Sus scrofa: one gene and its partners. The main gene of each other region encodes a partner of the protein of the gene in region 2 in a complex. Links are inferred from orthologs where the notes say so. Each region holds a gene or a part of one and is shown on either strand. Other genes may lie near its edges.

Evidence for each region.
Region 1: the proteins of TAB1 (region 2) and MAPK14 are in contact, whole or in part, in a crystal structure (PDB 4LOP), measured with the Mus musculus proteins. The link is inferred for Sus scrofa from reciprocal best matches to the Homo sapiens genes TAB1 and MAPK14. Residues at the interface, in NP_079885.2 of Mus musculus: Val385, Tyr386, Pro387, Val388, Ser389, Val390, Pro391, Tyr392, Leu405, Ser406, Leu407, Val408, Met409, Pro410; in NP_036081.1 of Mus musculus: Gly110, Ala111, Asn115, Ile116, Cys119, Gln120, Lys121, Leu122, Thr123, Asp124, Asp125, His126, Phe129, Val158, Asn159, Glu160, Asp161, Cys162, Leu217, Thr218, Gly219, Arg220, Thr221, Leu222, Asn272, Val273, Phe274, Ile275, Gly276, Ala277.
Region 3: the proteins of TAB1 (region 2) and XIAP are in contact, whole or in part, in a crystal structure (PDB 2POP), measured with the Homo sapiens proteins. The link is inferred for Sus scrofa from reciprocal best matches to the Homo sapiens genes TAB1 and XIAP. Residues at the interface, in NP_006107.1 of Homo sapiens: Glu99, Ala100, Arg103, Thr201, Gln202, Leu203, Glu212, Asp213, Phe216, Arg217, Gln220, Arg241, Glu269, Glu271, Ile272, His273, Ala275, Gln276, Pro277; in NP_001158.2 of Homo sapiens: Phe33, Ala34, Ser38, Gly39, Pro41, Ser43, Ala44, Ser45, Thr46, Arg49, Tyr75, Ser78, Ala79, Val80, Gly81, Arg84, Phe92, Ile93, Gly95, Tyr97, Leu98.
Region 4: the proteins of TAB1 (region 2) and OGT are in contact, whole or in part, in a crystal structure (PDB 4AY6), measured with the Homo sapiens proteins. The link is inferred for Sus scrofa from reciprocal best matches to the Homo sapiens genes TAB1 and OGT. Residues at the interface, in NP_006107.1 of Homo sapiens: Pro389, Val390, Val392, Pro393, Tyr394, Ser396, Ala397, Gln398, Ser399; in NP_858058.1 of Homo sapiens: Asp441, His506, His508, His509, Asn567, His568, Pro569, Gly641, Tyr642, Thr643, Lys644, Ala646, Gln849, Phe878, Pro904, Val905, Ala906, Pro907.

The regions. Positions count from the first base shown.
Region 1 is NC_010449.5:31,857,241-31,859,818, reverse strand, and holds part of MAPK14 (mitogen-activated protein kinase 14), read right to left. Parts: intron 1,630-2,578; coding exon 1,456-1,629; intron 1,258-1,455; exon of another isoform or gene 1,176-1,257; intron 634-1,175; coding exon 566-633; 3' UTR 1-565. UniProt on the Homo sapiens protein: Serine/threonine kinase which acts as an essential component of the MAP kinase signal transduction pathway.
Region 2 is NC_010447.5:8,839,124-8,842,878, forward strand, and holds part of TAB1 (TGF-beta-activated kinase 1 and MAP3K7-binding protein 1), read right to left. Parts: intron 1,766-3,755; coding exon 1,629-1,765; intron 1,259-1,628; coding exon 1,105-1,258; intron 192-1,104; coding exon 105-191; intron 1-104. UniProt on the Homo sapiens protein: Key adapter protein that plays an essential role in JNK and NF-kappa-B activation and proinflammatory cytokines production in response to stimulation with TLRs and cytokines.
Region 3 is NC_010461.5:101,420,560-101,424,314, reverse strand, and holds part of XIAP (E3 ubiquitin-protein ligase XIAP), read right to left. Parts: intron 2,454-3,755; coding exon 2,375-2,453; intron 1,417-2,374; coding exon 1,374-1,416; intron 1-1,373.
Region 4 is NC_010461.5:57,548,431-57,552,185, reverse strand, and holds part of OGT (UDP-N-acetylglucosamine--peptide N-acetylglucosaminyltransferase 110 kDa subunit), read right to left. Parts: intron 2,930-3,755; coding exon 2,777-2,929; intron 742-2,776; coding exon 489-741; intron 1-488. UniProt on the Homo sapiens protein: Catalyzes the transfer of a single N-acetylglucosamine from UDP-GlcNAc to a serine or threonine residue in cytoplasmic and nuclear proteins resulting in their modification with a beta-linked N-acetylglucosamine (O-GlcNAc).

The DNA of each region.
Region 1 (2,578 bases), on a different chromosome or scaffold from region 2:
GGTACACCTGTTGAGTTCTGAGAATCATGCTAAGCAAGTTAGTCATAGATGAGCGCAGAGAAGCCAGCTAGTCCTTTTGGCTGACGTTTTGAAGGGACGGCTTCAGATGTGAAGCGAACAGACGGTGCGAGCCTTCTTCTGTGCCTCTGCGGGGTGTGGTCAAGCCAAACCCCTACCAACAAGGGTGGCCGCAGGAGAGGCCAAAATGGCAAAAGCATGACTGGGGGCTGGGATGTTTAACATTTTTTACTTTGCTTTTAAGAAGCCCTAACAAGATGGCAGCTCCTGCTGCCCAGCTGACTTTCACAAAGAACAAGCAGAGACTGCCACGGAGCAGGGGTCGCTCCACGTAAAGTCACTGTGATCATAGTTTGCTCATAATCTCTTACCCTCCCACAAAGTCAGACAGACAGACACACACACACACATGGGCACGCACACACCCCCCCTTCCACCACGGAGGAAATCTTTGCAACAAGAGGCACTTGAATGATATTCGGAGAGTTCCCATGAAAAGGCCTTCCCCTCACAGTGAAGTGGGATCAGCAGAACAGAAACCGGATTCTCAAGACTCCATCTCTTCTTGGTCGAGGGGTGGCGGCACAAAGCTGATGACTTCATCGTAGGTCAGGCCTAGAAATCAGGAAGGAAAAGGAGGACGTGAAAGTTCGGACTATTCATTTTGTTGGCAAGCACCCTAACTTCTAAGCTCAAGATCCTTCCTCCCTGTCCAGACTAGTGGTTCCATGGGCCACTTCAAATAACTGCCTCACCGTTTGTGTGTGATATCCTGATGGAACATGTGATTCCACAGAAGTTCAAGGATACATACAAGAGAAGCATCCTTTATTGCTTCTTTAATCATCCAGTGCCTCCTCTTTAAAACTCTCTGAAGATGCTTGAGAATAACGTAGTAATCCCATTTGCTGTAGCAACAGATAGTCCTGGCTTTTGAAATTTCACTGGAGTTTTCTGAATGTGTGTTTTATGGAGAGACTATGAAACTGAGCACAGGAGACCTGGGTTCTATTTCTGGCTGTGTCCCTAATTAGGTCTAAGGTAACAGTTAAGATGTTAACTTTCTTCACCCAAGTTCTATCAATTATAAAACTGTAAATGCACCCTATCCCCTACTTAGCTGGGAAAGATGGTATAAATGCAAAAATTCTGAGAACCTCAAAGTTCTATGCAGACGTGAGGGGCTGTGCACAAAATCAGACCAGACAGAAGCATCTCAAAGGTCCAGAGTGTCATCATCTACAACAGACAGTTTCCATCAGAGGAACATACTCATTCTGCATTAGAGACCTAACGACAAGGTTTAACAAGTTGGATTTAACCAGGAGTCCGCACCTCCACCCCCCACCCCCCTGCCCTCCCCCACTGACAGCTTTTGGTTTGTGGTTCACCTGGCAAAGATTTTTAAAGCTACGTGTTCATCATGCTCAGACTTACTTTTCCATTCATCTATAAGGAGGTCCCTGCTTTCAAAAGACTGATCGTAAGGATCAGCCACTGGTTCATCATCAGGATCATGGTACTGAGCAAAGTAGGCATGCGCAAGGGCTTGGGCTGCTGTAATTCTCTTATCTGAGTCCAAAACAAGCATCTTCTCCAGCAAGTCAACAGCTATCAGTGATGCAGATTGGAAGGAAAAAAGAGTTTTTAACACACTGCCAAAAATGTATGCTTTATTAAGCAAAACACAGTTTTGACCTTTTACACCAAAACAAAGAATTCTCCTTCAATTCTGGGATGTTACTCCTTTCCTCTTTTATTTTTTTTTTTTTTTTTTGGTCTTTTTAGGGACACACCTGCAACACATGGAAGTTCCCAGGCTAGGAGTTGAATGGGAACTGTAGCTGCCAGCCTAGGCCACAGCCACAGCAACGAGGGATCTGAGCTGGGTCTACAACCTACACCACAGCTCATGGCAACACTGGATCCTTAACCCACTGAGCAAGGCCAGGGATGGAACCTTGAACCTCGTGGATACTAGTTGGGTCCATTATCACTGAGCCACAACGAGAACTCCCCTTTCCTCTTTTATGTTTGTTTGTTTTTGTCTTTTTTGTCTTTTCTAGGGCTGCACCCACAGCACATAGAGATTCCCAGGCTAGGGGTCGAATCGGAGCTGTAGCCACTGGCCTACGCCAGAGCCATGGCAACTCGGGATCTGAGCCGCATCTGTGACTTATACCACAGCTCATCGCAATGCCCGATCCTTAACACACTGAGCAAGGTCAGGGATTGAACCCGTAACCTCATGGTTCCTAGTTGGATTCGTTAACCACGGAGCCATGACAAGAACTCCCCCTTTCCTCTTTTAAATATATGTGTGCACGTGCATGGATGGATGTTGTATTTTTTCTTTCTTTTCTTTTTTGGCTGCCCAGCAGCATGAGGAGTTCCTGGGCCAGGGATTGAATCTGAGCCAGAGTTGTGATCTATGCCACAGCTGCAGCAATGCTGGATCCCTAACCCACTGAGCGAGCCCAGGGATCACACCCATGTCCCCAGTCTGGCAGAGACACCATCAATCCCATTGCATCACAGTGGGAACTCCGGATTTTATATT
Region 2 (3,755 bases):
GCCTAGTTGTCAATGACTTGGGAGTGACACGGCAGGGGAGTCCTTGCTCCGAGCAAAGCCAGGCCGTGACCTGCTCCTCCTGGGGCACAGGCTGGGGACGCTACCTCAGGCAGCTGGGACTGGAGGCTCGCTTTCTCGGCCAAGGCATCATCAATGGACTCCAGGAAGCTCCTCTCCACCACGTCGAAGGCCTGGGGGCACAGGACGGGGGGCAGAGGCCAGTTCAAACACTGCTGTCACCTGATGCTGAAACACCCGCTATGAATAGCGACAGCTGTATCAACTGCGGGCCATCAGGTGGTGAGGGATTCATACACGGCAGCGCTGGGCACTGCTGCTCCTGCAAAGTTTGACAACGACGTGGCCCCATGGCACTGCTGCCTTCCCAGTGGCACTGCAGAGTGACCAGAGAGGCAGGGACGGCAGAGAGGTAAGCGCACAGGCTTGGAGTCAGGCCGCCCGGGGTGATGGCCAGCTCTGCACCTGCCGGCTGGGCAGTCCCAGCCTCCTCATCTGTGAGACACAGGTGACTGAGAGAAGCCGCCCTGGGCACCCAGAGCGTGGCTCAGAGTTAGTGTCACTGCCACATCCTGAGGGACCCCCAGGGGCACTGGCTGGGAATCACCGGCACGGGGCCCTGAGACCGGGGACAAGGCAAGAAAATGGCCGGACACGCTGTTTTCGAGGAACAGGAATCCACCCTTCTCGTCTACAGCTAAGTGCTTCCGGACCTGCTTCCAAGTGGAGATGCCAGGAGGGAAACGTCCAAAACAAGAGCAACATGCGGAACTGGCATCGGGCGCCAGCCAACCATGAGTGAGGAGGCCCAGCCCGGGCACCCCCCGTCCAAGGTGACCGCCCTCCCTCCCCCTCCCCGGGAGCCCCTCCTCCAGGGCCCCGCCAGCCCATCGTGGGGCAGGACCGCTGCTGGCTGCCCAGCCCTGCGCCCTGGGACGTGGGCGCCCTCCCAGAGCTGCTTCCTCTGCAGAGCCGAGGAGCCGGCAGGGCCTTGAGACCAAGCCCGGGCTAACCCGGCGCTCCACGGTTGCAGGGCCGACTGCACCGTCAGGGAACCGGTCACGGGCAGCCTCCTCGCACCCGTACCTGCAGCAGCACCCGCCGCACGTCGGCCTCAGTGTGCTCGGCGCTGAGCTGGCCCAGCAGGAGCTCCGCGGACAGCCGCTGGGCCACGAAGTTGGTCACCCGGTTGCCATCGTAGCCGTTGAAGACCCCGTACAGGAAGCAGTTGTTCTCACTCCTGACAGAAGGACAGGGTGGGTGGCAGCCTGAGACCAGGGGCTCACAGAAGAGCGACGCCAGTTCCAGGGGGAGGGGGGTGGGGAGGGGAAGGAACTGGGGAAACAGAAGATGCGGCAGCAGTGGTTTCAGGGGCCCAGTGGGTCCCCCACTTGGGCCATCATTTCACTCTGGCCGTGACCTCCTGGACTGCCCCCTCCCCCCAGAGCAGGCCCTCAGCCGGTCTGAGGTCTAGACGTGGCAGCGACAGGAGACACACCTCCCATGGGCCACGTCTCGCTAGCAAGTCCCATGCAAGACTCTACAAAACTGCTTTTTCTGGCTTGCAAACCTCTTTCTGATGCCCAGGAGAGCACTGCTGGCACTCTCACCTGAACTTGAGCCAGTTGTCCTCCGGTGGGTGGCTCTCGGTGCCCTTGCCATCAGCAGAATAGCTGCGGTTGGAGGCTGAGCCAACCCCAGAGAGGTGGCAGAGCGGCAGGTCATCCGTCCAGCTCGGCTGCTGCTCCTGGAGGGACACCAGGAAACCCCAATGCATTACCGTCTGGCCCAGAGCAGACCCCACTTCAGCGTCTTCTTCCCCAACCCAAACCCGGCAGGCTCCGAGCACCACCCGCAGGGTTCCACTGCCTCCTGGAAGATGACAAGGGGGGGGTATGAACAAACACTTGCAGAAAGGTTTGCATGGCTCCATGGCTACTCTGCAAACTCTTCCCCAGGAAACCTGAAAACGACCAGAGTCCCCAAATGCAAGGCTCAGTTGTGTCTCCAGGTGAGCACTCCACCGTGGAGCACGAGTGAGAGAGACGCTCCTGGTATAAACTCTTCGTTGGCTCCCCATCTCACAGTGCAGTGGCTCTGACTCTGATCCCTTGGCACTGGTACAACCACAGATTTCCAGAAAGGCTGATCCTGCGGGGCTCAGGACATCTGCTTTGCAGGCTGGGGGTGAGTCACGCAGCCCAGGACCCCACCTTGAGAAAGCAACTTACTAAAGCTTGCCTCGGTCACTCTTCCTGGCCCCCTTGCCACCCTAGAATCCTCTACCACCTGCCCTCCTCCTCCACTAGTACCACACGCTTGCAGTGCCCTGTCCACACCCCCTCTTTCCCTCCTTGTCCTTGTCTAGCAACTTTCCATGTCCTTTGGGACTCTGGCTCAGGAGTCACCTCCTCCAGGAAGTCTTCTTTTGGGAAGCCCCTCTCCAGGCTTGGGTGCCAGCCCTCTCGTGTGCCCCTCCTACACCTGGCCCCCGACTCCTTCCTGCCCCTTTCTGATGCCCATTCTACCCCAAGATCTCAAAGCAGGCTGTTCAGTATAATCACAACAGAGCTTCACACACACACACACAATCACAACGGAGCTACACACACACACACACACACACACACACACACACACACACGGCAGCTTCACACACACAATCACAACGGAGCTACACACACACACACACACACACACACACACACACACACGGCTGTCCCGGCCCCTGCCCAATCTCCTCGGGGTGCATTCTGAGCACCTGCAGTTTCTAAGCCCCAGAAACAGCCCTGACACAAGGCCCGGGCTCGATCCACTGCCTTGCCCTGAAAGCTTCCCCTACACCTGGCCTCACCCGAGACCTGTGCCTGGTTCACAAAGACTCTCTCGTGCCACACGCTGAACTACAGCGAACTACAACAACGGGGAAAATCAAGGTTCAACCGTAAGGAGGGTAAAACCTGGACTGAAAGCTTTATTGAAACATTAAACAAGCAGGAATACTGTGCACAACTCCTTAGAAGTTAGCAGTGACAGTCTTCAAAAAAGGATGTGAAAACCACTTCAACAGGCTTTTGCAATCAGATATGTGAAAACCTGTGGTTACCTCTTGTGGCAAATTTCATCGTTTGTTTATTTACTTACTGACAGGGAGTGACTTTTATGGCTTTTTTTTTTTTCATTTTAATTGCTTTTATGCTGTATTTATTCTAGCGCTTTGGTTTTGTGCTTTGCACCCTAGAGCAACTTCAGCCGGGTGTGGGAGGTTGTTTTTATTTTTAAATTGACATACAGTAAAACTGCCTTTCTGATGTGCAGGTCTATGAATTTTAATACTTGCAGAGATTTGTGTAACTACTGCCACAATCAAGATACAGAACAGCCCGTCATCCCGAAACACACCGTCATGCTGTCCCCTCTGAGCCACAGGCTCTGCTAACTCCAGGCAACCACTGACCTACAGTCTTTTCAAGAAGGCCCAAAATGAGATTATGCGGCACGTAACCCCTTTTCCCCCTCTTTTTATTGTGGTTAATACCCAGGACAAAACTCTAACCACTTTTAAGTGTACATTTTACTGGTATGAAATACGGTTATATTGGAGTTCCCTTTGTGGCTCAGCAGTAACGACCCCAACTAGAATCCATGAAGATGCAGGTTCAATCCCTGGCCTTGCTCAGTGGGTTAATAAGGATCTGACATTGCCGTGAGCTATGGTGTAAGTCACAGATTCAGTG
Region 3 (3,755 bases), on a different chromosome or scaffold from region 2:
AAATAAATGAATAAGAGAAATGTTGTATTCTTTTTTCCACTGTTCAACATGGGGACCAAGTTACACATACATGCATACTTAATTTTCGCTCCCATTGTTGTGTTGCGATGTAAGTATCTATACATAGTTCTCAATACTACACAGCAGGATCTCATTGTAAGAGAAATGTTATAGAATCTTTGCTTCTGGATAATTTCAAAAATACGGGATGGAATAAATGATTTCTCTCTCTCTCTCTCTTTTTTTTTTTTTTGCTTCTCTTAGGGCCGCACCTGTGGCATGTGGAGGTTCCCAGGCTAGGGGTCTAATTGGAGCTACAGCTGAGCAACTCGGGATCCGAGCCATGACTGTGACCTACACCACAGCTCATGGCAACGCTGGATCCTTAACCCACTGAGCAAGGCCAGGGATTGAACCCACAACCTCATGGTTCCTAGTCAGATTTGTTTCTGCTGCGCCACAATGGGAACTCCCATAAATGACTTCTTAAACTGTATAATTTATATACATTACAAAACCCTTATCAAATAATATCAAAGTGGCTCTCCTTCTCTAGCATATTTATGAATATATATAGTAGTATTCTCTTGCCTTGTAATCCTTAAAATACTAAATAGATCATGCTATGAGTATAGGGAGTAGGGAATCATCACGAATACTCTAAATTTATTATTTTTCAAATGCGATGCCCAGGTTGAAAATGAGATCTGTAGTGTGATGTGGGATTCAGAAGACCTTATTTACAGTCCTAGTTCCCCTAAAGATTTGTAATATAATCATGGGCAGGTCACTTAACTTCTGTTTCTTCATCTGAGAGGTGGGATAACAATATCTTTGTTGCTTAACATAATATCTTTTTCTGCATACTTTTTTCCCTGCATACTTTTTATTTTTAAAGATGTCTATGATGTTTTATCTTTGTGATAAAAAACCTCTACCTCTCTATAAGGTAATGGTAAACAAACCAAACCGTACTCCTCTGTGAAGAAGCTGGTGAAGAGAAAAAGATGGCATGGGATAAGGAATCACGTAGGTTAGGGCCGGTCATTAGTAGAACACTGGATTCACAATCCTGGCTAACTGAAGAAATTCCAGGGACAAAAATACATTTAATCCTCCTTGTTGTGATTTTAACAGAAATGGCAATGGACAGCCTACGGCTGTTCCTCTCAAACTTGAAAAAACTGTTTAACCTCTGAATGAATGTTCCTAATATATAAATATCCAACTTAAATTTATAGGTACTTCATTAATTCTTTAATTTATAGCAATCTTATCTCAAATAAATATACCTCGAGAGAATCAGTTTATCTTTCCACCTTATATATAACAGCTATAGTAAATTGGCAAATTATTTTAGTAAGTATATTTACCAATTCTTTTAGTTAATGATGGTGTTTTTTCAGCACTTCTCACCTAAAATAGAAATATGAATTGTAAGTTAGAATTCTTCTTCTTCTTCTTTTTTTTTTTAATCTTTTTAGGGCTGCACCCACGGCATATGGAGGTTCCCAGGCTAGGGGTCTAATTGGAGCTGTAGCTGCCGGCCTACGCCAGAGCCACAGCAACACGGGATCCAAGCCGCGTCTGCGACCTACACCACAGCTCACGGCAACGCCCAATCCTTAACCCGCTGAGCGAGGCCAGGGACCGAACCCACAACCTCATGGTTCCTAGATGGATTCGTTTCTACTGCACCATGACAGAAACTCCTAGAATTCCTTTGGGTAGAAGGCAATTGCCTCAATTTTAAAAGTTACATTAATAATGAATTTATTAATTGGCTTTATTCCAATTTAACATATGAGTAGTCATAAGAGGCACAGACTGATGAAGCTAGAAGTTAAAAGATCATCTAACCCAATCCATTCATTTCAGACAAGACAAGAAGGTGAGGCTCAGAGAGATTAAACAACTTGATCAAGACAATATAGTTCATGGCAGGGCCATAATGGCAACTCTTGTCTCCCATTCTAGTCCAAGGCTCTTTGCACATAGTACTGATGCTTTGGCCACCCCAGGCCACACTATCAACTTAGATACATTTTTGAGATTTTAAAGACTGTCTATGAAAAGATAAGAACTATTTATGAATATAAATCACATTATACAGTATAATTTCAGAAGGCTGAGTGATTTAAGTATTTTACTTCTTCAAGCCCATTTTTGCCCTGAGCAAAACTTAAATCAGTTCAATTCCCTTTTCAAAAATATGCTTTGGATTAAGAAAAACTAGCACTCTTCAAGATCTCCCCTTTAAGCTCGCCACATATTATTAATTTAAAATACTGTACTGTGAATTTTACTCCAAGAAATCATTGCAAAACAAGTTGTGTAATATTTGAAAATACATAATCTATAATATATGACTTACCAGAGACTCCTCAATTGAATGTGTTAAATGAATACTGTTTATATATTCTTGTCCCTTCTCTTCTAACAGATATTTACACCTAAACAATTAAAATAAAGTTAAACTCTAGTAACTCATAAATTAGTAAGGTATAAGTAAAAATATACTTTCCATCATCTTAATTCCATTAACTTGCTTTTTGATCTAAGGAGCCACAAAATAAAATGTTATTCAATTCTCTATCCAACCTTTATTTTAAGGTTAAAATAATGTTCCCATTGTTATCTTAATATGCTAATGTTAGTAGAGCAAAAAATATAAACTTGAGACCCTTCAACTTTTAAGCAAGTTATTAAATTAGCACCTTGATATTTTAAAAGAAGCTTTAAATAGTTAATCTTTTTTTGGGGGGGCATGCAGAAGTTCCTGGGCCAGGGATCAAACTTGCACAACAGCTGTAACCAGAGCCACAGCAGCGACGCTGGATCCTTAACCTACTGAGCCACAAGGGAATTCCTTAAATCATTAATCTTACTGAGTTTTATTTAGATTAACTAATTGTACATTTTAAAGGAATTTTTTAGGCTTTCAGTCTTTCCTTTTAAGGTTGCTAAAGGTTAAGATTTATTTTCAAGTTACCATTTTGAAATTTCAAGTTGTACTCTTTTGCAGGCCAAAAATTCATATCACTGTACGCATCTGTGTACTTTATTTTATTTATTTTGGTTTTTTTTGTGTGTACTTTATTTTAAAGAGGCAAGATGACAAAGAGACATTTAGAATGTCATCATTTTAAGATGCTACTAACTGTAAACAGCATGATTATATGATGTACCACCACTGCCAATTACATTATCACCCACCATCACATGTGTCCAGATTTTACAAATTTAAACTGTGAACAATTATGTGTCTTAGAATCAGTGAGATTCAGCAGTATTTGCTAAAGGGGTGTGATAAGTTCTCTGCAACATGGGTTCTCTTGTCCCCATCATTAAAGAGCCCACTTCCTACAACAACAAAAGCAGACATTCCTAATTTGGTGTTTAGAAATGGAATCATCTGGAGCTCCTGTCGTGGTGCAGCAGAAGCGAATCCAACTAGGAACCATAAGGTTGTGGGTTCAATCCCTGGCCTCGCTCAGGGGGTTAAGGATCCGGTGTTGCCCTGAGCTGTGGTGTAGGTTTCAGATGAGGCTCTGATCTGGCATTGCTGTGGCTCTGGCGTAGGTTGGCAGCTGTAGCTCCGATTGGACCCCTAGCCTGGGAACCCCCATATGCTGCAAGTGCGGCCCTCAAAAGACAAAAAAAAAAAAAAAAAGAAAAAAGAAAAGGAATCATCTGAATGTCATATTTATGATACATAATGTTTTGGTCACCAGAGAAAGCTTAGGTTTTTATTT
Region 4 (3,755 bases), on a different chromosome or scaffold from region 2:
CATCTGAGAATGCAAATAGCACAGTTTAACATTATTTATGTTAAATATCCACACAATGTAGATGAGGAGTGCTCAAACTTAAACAAGTCTTGTTTTCTATCATCTTACCCTACATGTTGCTTCTAGCATACATGATTTCACCTGGAAGTGCCAACCCCAAAGGAGATTTTAAAAAGAACAAGCAGGAGTTCCCGTCGTGGCGCAGTGGTTAACGAATCCGACTAGGAACCATGAGGTTGCGGGTTCGGTCCCTGCCCTTGCTCAGTGGGTTAACGATCCGGCGTTGCCGTGAGCTGTGGTGCAGGTTGCAGACGCGGCTCGGATCCTGCGTTGCTGTGGCTCTGGCGTAGGCCGGTGGCTACAGCTCCAATTGGACCCCTAGCCTGGGAACCTCCATATGCCTCGGGAGCGGCCCAAGAGATAGCAACAACAACAACAACAACAAAAAAAAGAACAAGCAAGATTCCAATGATTTATCAGCAACTCACCTGGCATAGTCACCATAGGTGTCCCTGCCCAGAGGACATCCATCCCTGTGGTGTGCCCATTACAGAGTGGAGTGTCCAGGCAGACATCAGCTAGCTGGCCTCTCCGGACATGTTCCTCTTTAGGAGCAACGGGTGAAAAAATGATGCGGTTCTGGGGAAGGCCCATATTTTGTGCGTACTGTTGAATATTAGGTTCTCCTACTGCTGGAAAACGCAATAGCCATAGTACACTATTGGGAACACGCTTCAGAATCTAAAACAGGGAAAACAAGAACGGGTATGAATATTATTTCTGCCCTTCTCAAGAAAGGTTCTCTTTAATTTCTAATAATTCTACCATACTCTATTCTTTTCATCCAGATAGCAGCCTACTGTGAACTTAAGTCTTTCCTTCACACAGATAAATTAGATCAACTGAATTATAGGTTCCTGTTCTGCTTAGCTGTCCCCAAAGATAGTTCAAAGAAAGAAGAGACGGATGCAAGCAGACACAAAACAACTTGCTAATTGGCAAAATCTGAAGCAGCTATGGCCTATGGGAATTGATACTAGCAGTGGTTTTGGTCCATGAGATAGGAATTTTCCATTTCAAATTGTAAATCCCCCACCATGGCACAACAAATAAAAGTTAGCTCACATCTGCCAAACTTTATTTGCTTAATCTAGGTCAGGGGTCAACAGACTTTTTCTGTAAAGGACCAGAGAGCAAATTATTTTTGGCTCTGGTGCCAACATGGACCCTTTCATAACTATTCAATTCTGCCCTTGTCACTGGAAAGCAGCCATAGGCAATATTTAAATAAGTAGGCGAGGCTGTGTGTCAATCAAATTTTATTTACAAAAACAGGCAGTGGACTAGATTTGGCCCAGAGACCATAGTTTGCCAACCCCTAATTTAGATCTACATCTACTCAATGTATCATAAAAGTTCACCATCCCTTCTCTCAAAGCCACGGGAACAATGGACTTCAGAACATGGACTTCAGAATTTAGAATATTTTGGGAGTTCCCGTCGTGGCCCAGCAGAAACGTATCCAACTGAGAACCATGAGGTTGCAGGTTCAATACCTGGCCTCGCTCAATGGGTTAAGGATCCAGTGTTGCCACAGAAGCGGCTCAGATCTGGTGTTGCTGTGGCTGTGGTGTAGGCTGGCAGCTGTAGCGCCAATTAGACCCCTAGCCTGGGAACCTCCATATGCCACAGGTGTGGCCCTTAAAAAAGCCAAAAAAAAAAAAAAAAAAAAAAAAAGAGAGAGAGAGAGAAATTTAGAATATTTTAGATTTTAAAAACAAACTAGTACAGTGAATATAAATTACGTAACACTCTCAGCAAGAGCTCCCTGTAAACAAACATATTATTTTTGCATCAAGATGTAGGAATATTCATACTAAATGGAATAAATAAAGAACCATAAATAGCCTAACTTCAGTTCAGGTAGTTCTGCTGCCAAATAAATTTATCACGAACTTATGAACATGCTTTTTTATGGTTTTTTGGTTTTTTTTAATGAGGAGGTGAAGATTAAGAGACAATAAATCTGTACTCATCTGCTTCTTCTTCTCAACTCTCCTCTCTCCTTTAAAAATACAAAACAGATAAAAAACTAGATAGTAATCAGGAAAAAAAACCAAGAATTATCTCCATTTTAAAAAGCTCTATGGAATAAGAGCCAGATACAGATAGCAAAGTTTAGAACCTTCAGATGTCCTGCTTATACAAACTGGTCTGATGAACTAACTGAAAGGTAATGGCATAAACCAGTTCCTTCCTGGTTATAACTCTACAATATTGGAAGAATGATGTTAAACATGGGTCGGATGTACCTAACAGCTCTGCTATCAGATTAGACCATGGGTTGGCAAACTACAGCCTGTGAGCCAAATCTGGCACATTGCCTGTCTTCATAGATAAAAATTTCTTGGAAGATACCTACACTCATTCATTCACATAATGAATATGGTGTTTTCCTGCTACAATGGCAGAAGTGAACAGATGTGACAGAGTATAGACGGCAAAACCAAAAGTATTTATGCCATCTGGCCTTTTAAGAAAAAGCCTGCTGATCCCTGCTTTTCGACACATAAATTCTAAAAGTTCATAATGTGACATTTAGACACTAGGAAAAATCAAAAATCACTGAAAATCTACAACCCTTGAAGATTAGACATGAGCACAACAGCTCCTGAATGGAGATGGGGGGCGGGGTGGGCAGGGCAGTCTCAGCAAGATGGCCTATATACAGAATCTCTTAGAGTCTCTAGACAACAATGAATCCACATATACTCACATTTGCCCACATCTGCAAAGTAGAAGGGTCAATTTTATATAACTGATTAAAGTTACAGTACACAATAGCATCTTCTGGTAACCCATACTGAGAACGTGTGGTGACAATAATAGTACGGGGAACCTCCTCTCCAGTGGCAGCCTTATTGTTGATCTAGAACAAGAAAAAGAAAATGATGATTATATTTAAAGTCAACATAGTCCAATAGTTTTCAATCAATAAAGAATCCTTATGATGCAAAGTGGTATAACCATTTTTTTAAATTGAACTATAGGAGTTCCCATCATGGCTCGGCAGTTAACGAACCCAACTGGCATCCATGAGGATGAGGGTCCTTGGCCTTTCTCAGTAGGTTAAGGATCTGGCATTGCCATGAGCTGTGATATAGGTTGCAGACGCAGCTCAGATCCCGCACTGCTGTGGCTCTGGTGTAGGCCTGCAGGCTACAGCTCCGATTGGACCCCTAGCCTGGGAACCTCCATATGCTGCAGGTGCAGCCATAAAAAGACAAAAAACAAACAAAAAAATTGAAATACAGTTGATTTACAGTGTGTTCGTTTCTTCTATAAAGCAAAGTGAGTCAGCTATACATATATATTCTTTTTATATTCTTTTCCATTATGTTTTACTATAAAATATTGAATTATCATTCCCTATGCTATACAGTAGGAGTGGTATAACCATTAAAAGTCATGTCTCTGAACTATAATGAGAATATATTCATGATACCTTAAAGGAAAAAAGCTACAGCGTTATCTTAATTTGGAGAAGACTGTACTATGCAAAGTCTTACCCTAGCCAGAGTTCTCTTCAAATCTCAATTAATCCAACAGCAAGCTTTTGCTCACTTTTTTCTCTGTGAATGAAATGTCTTTTTCTAAATCACACCCACTTTTCAAGGCTAAATTTAAATTACCCTTCCGAACAATCTCTACGAAGACTGCCTCTCCTCACACTGATCATCACTATTTCTATGTAC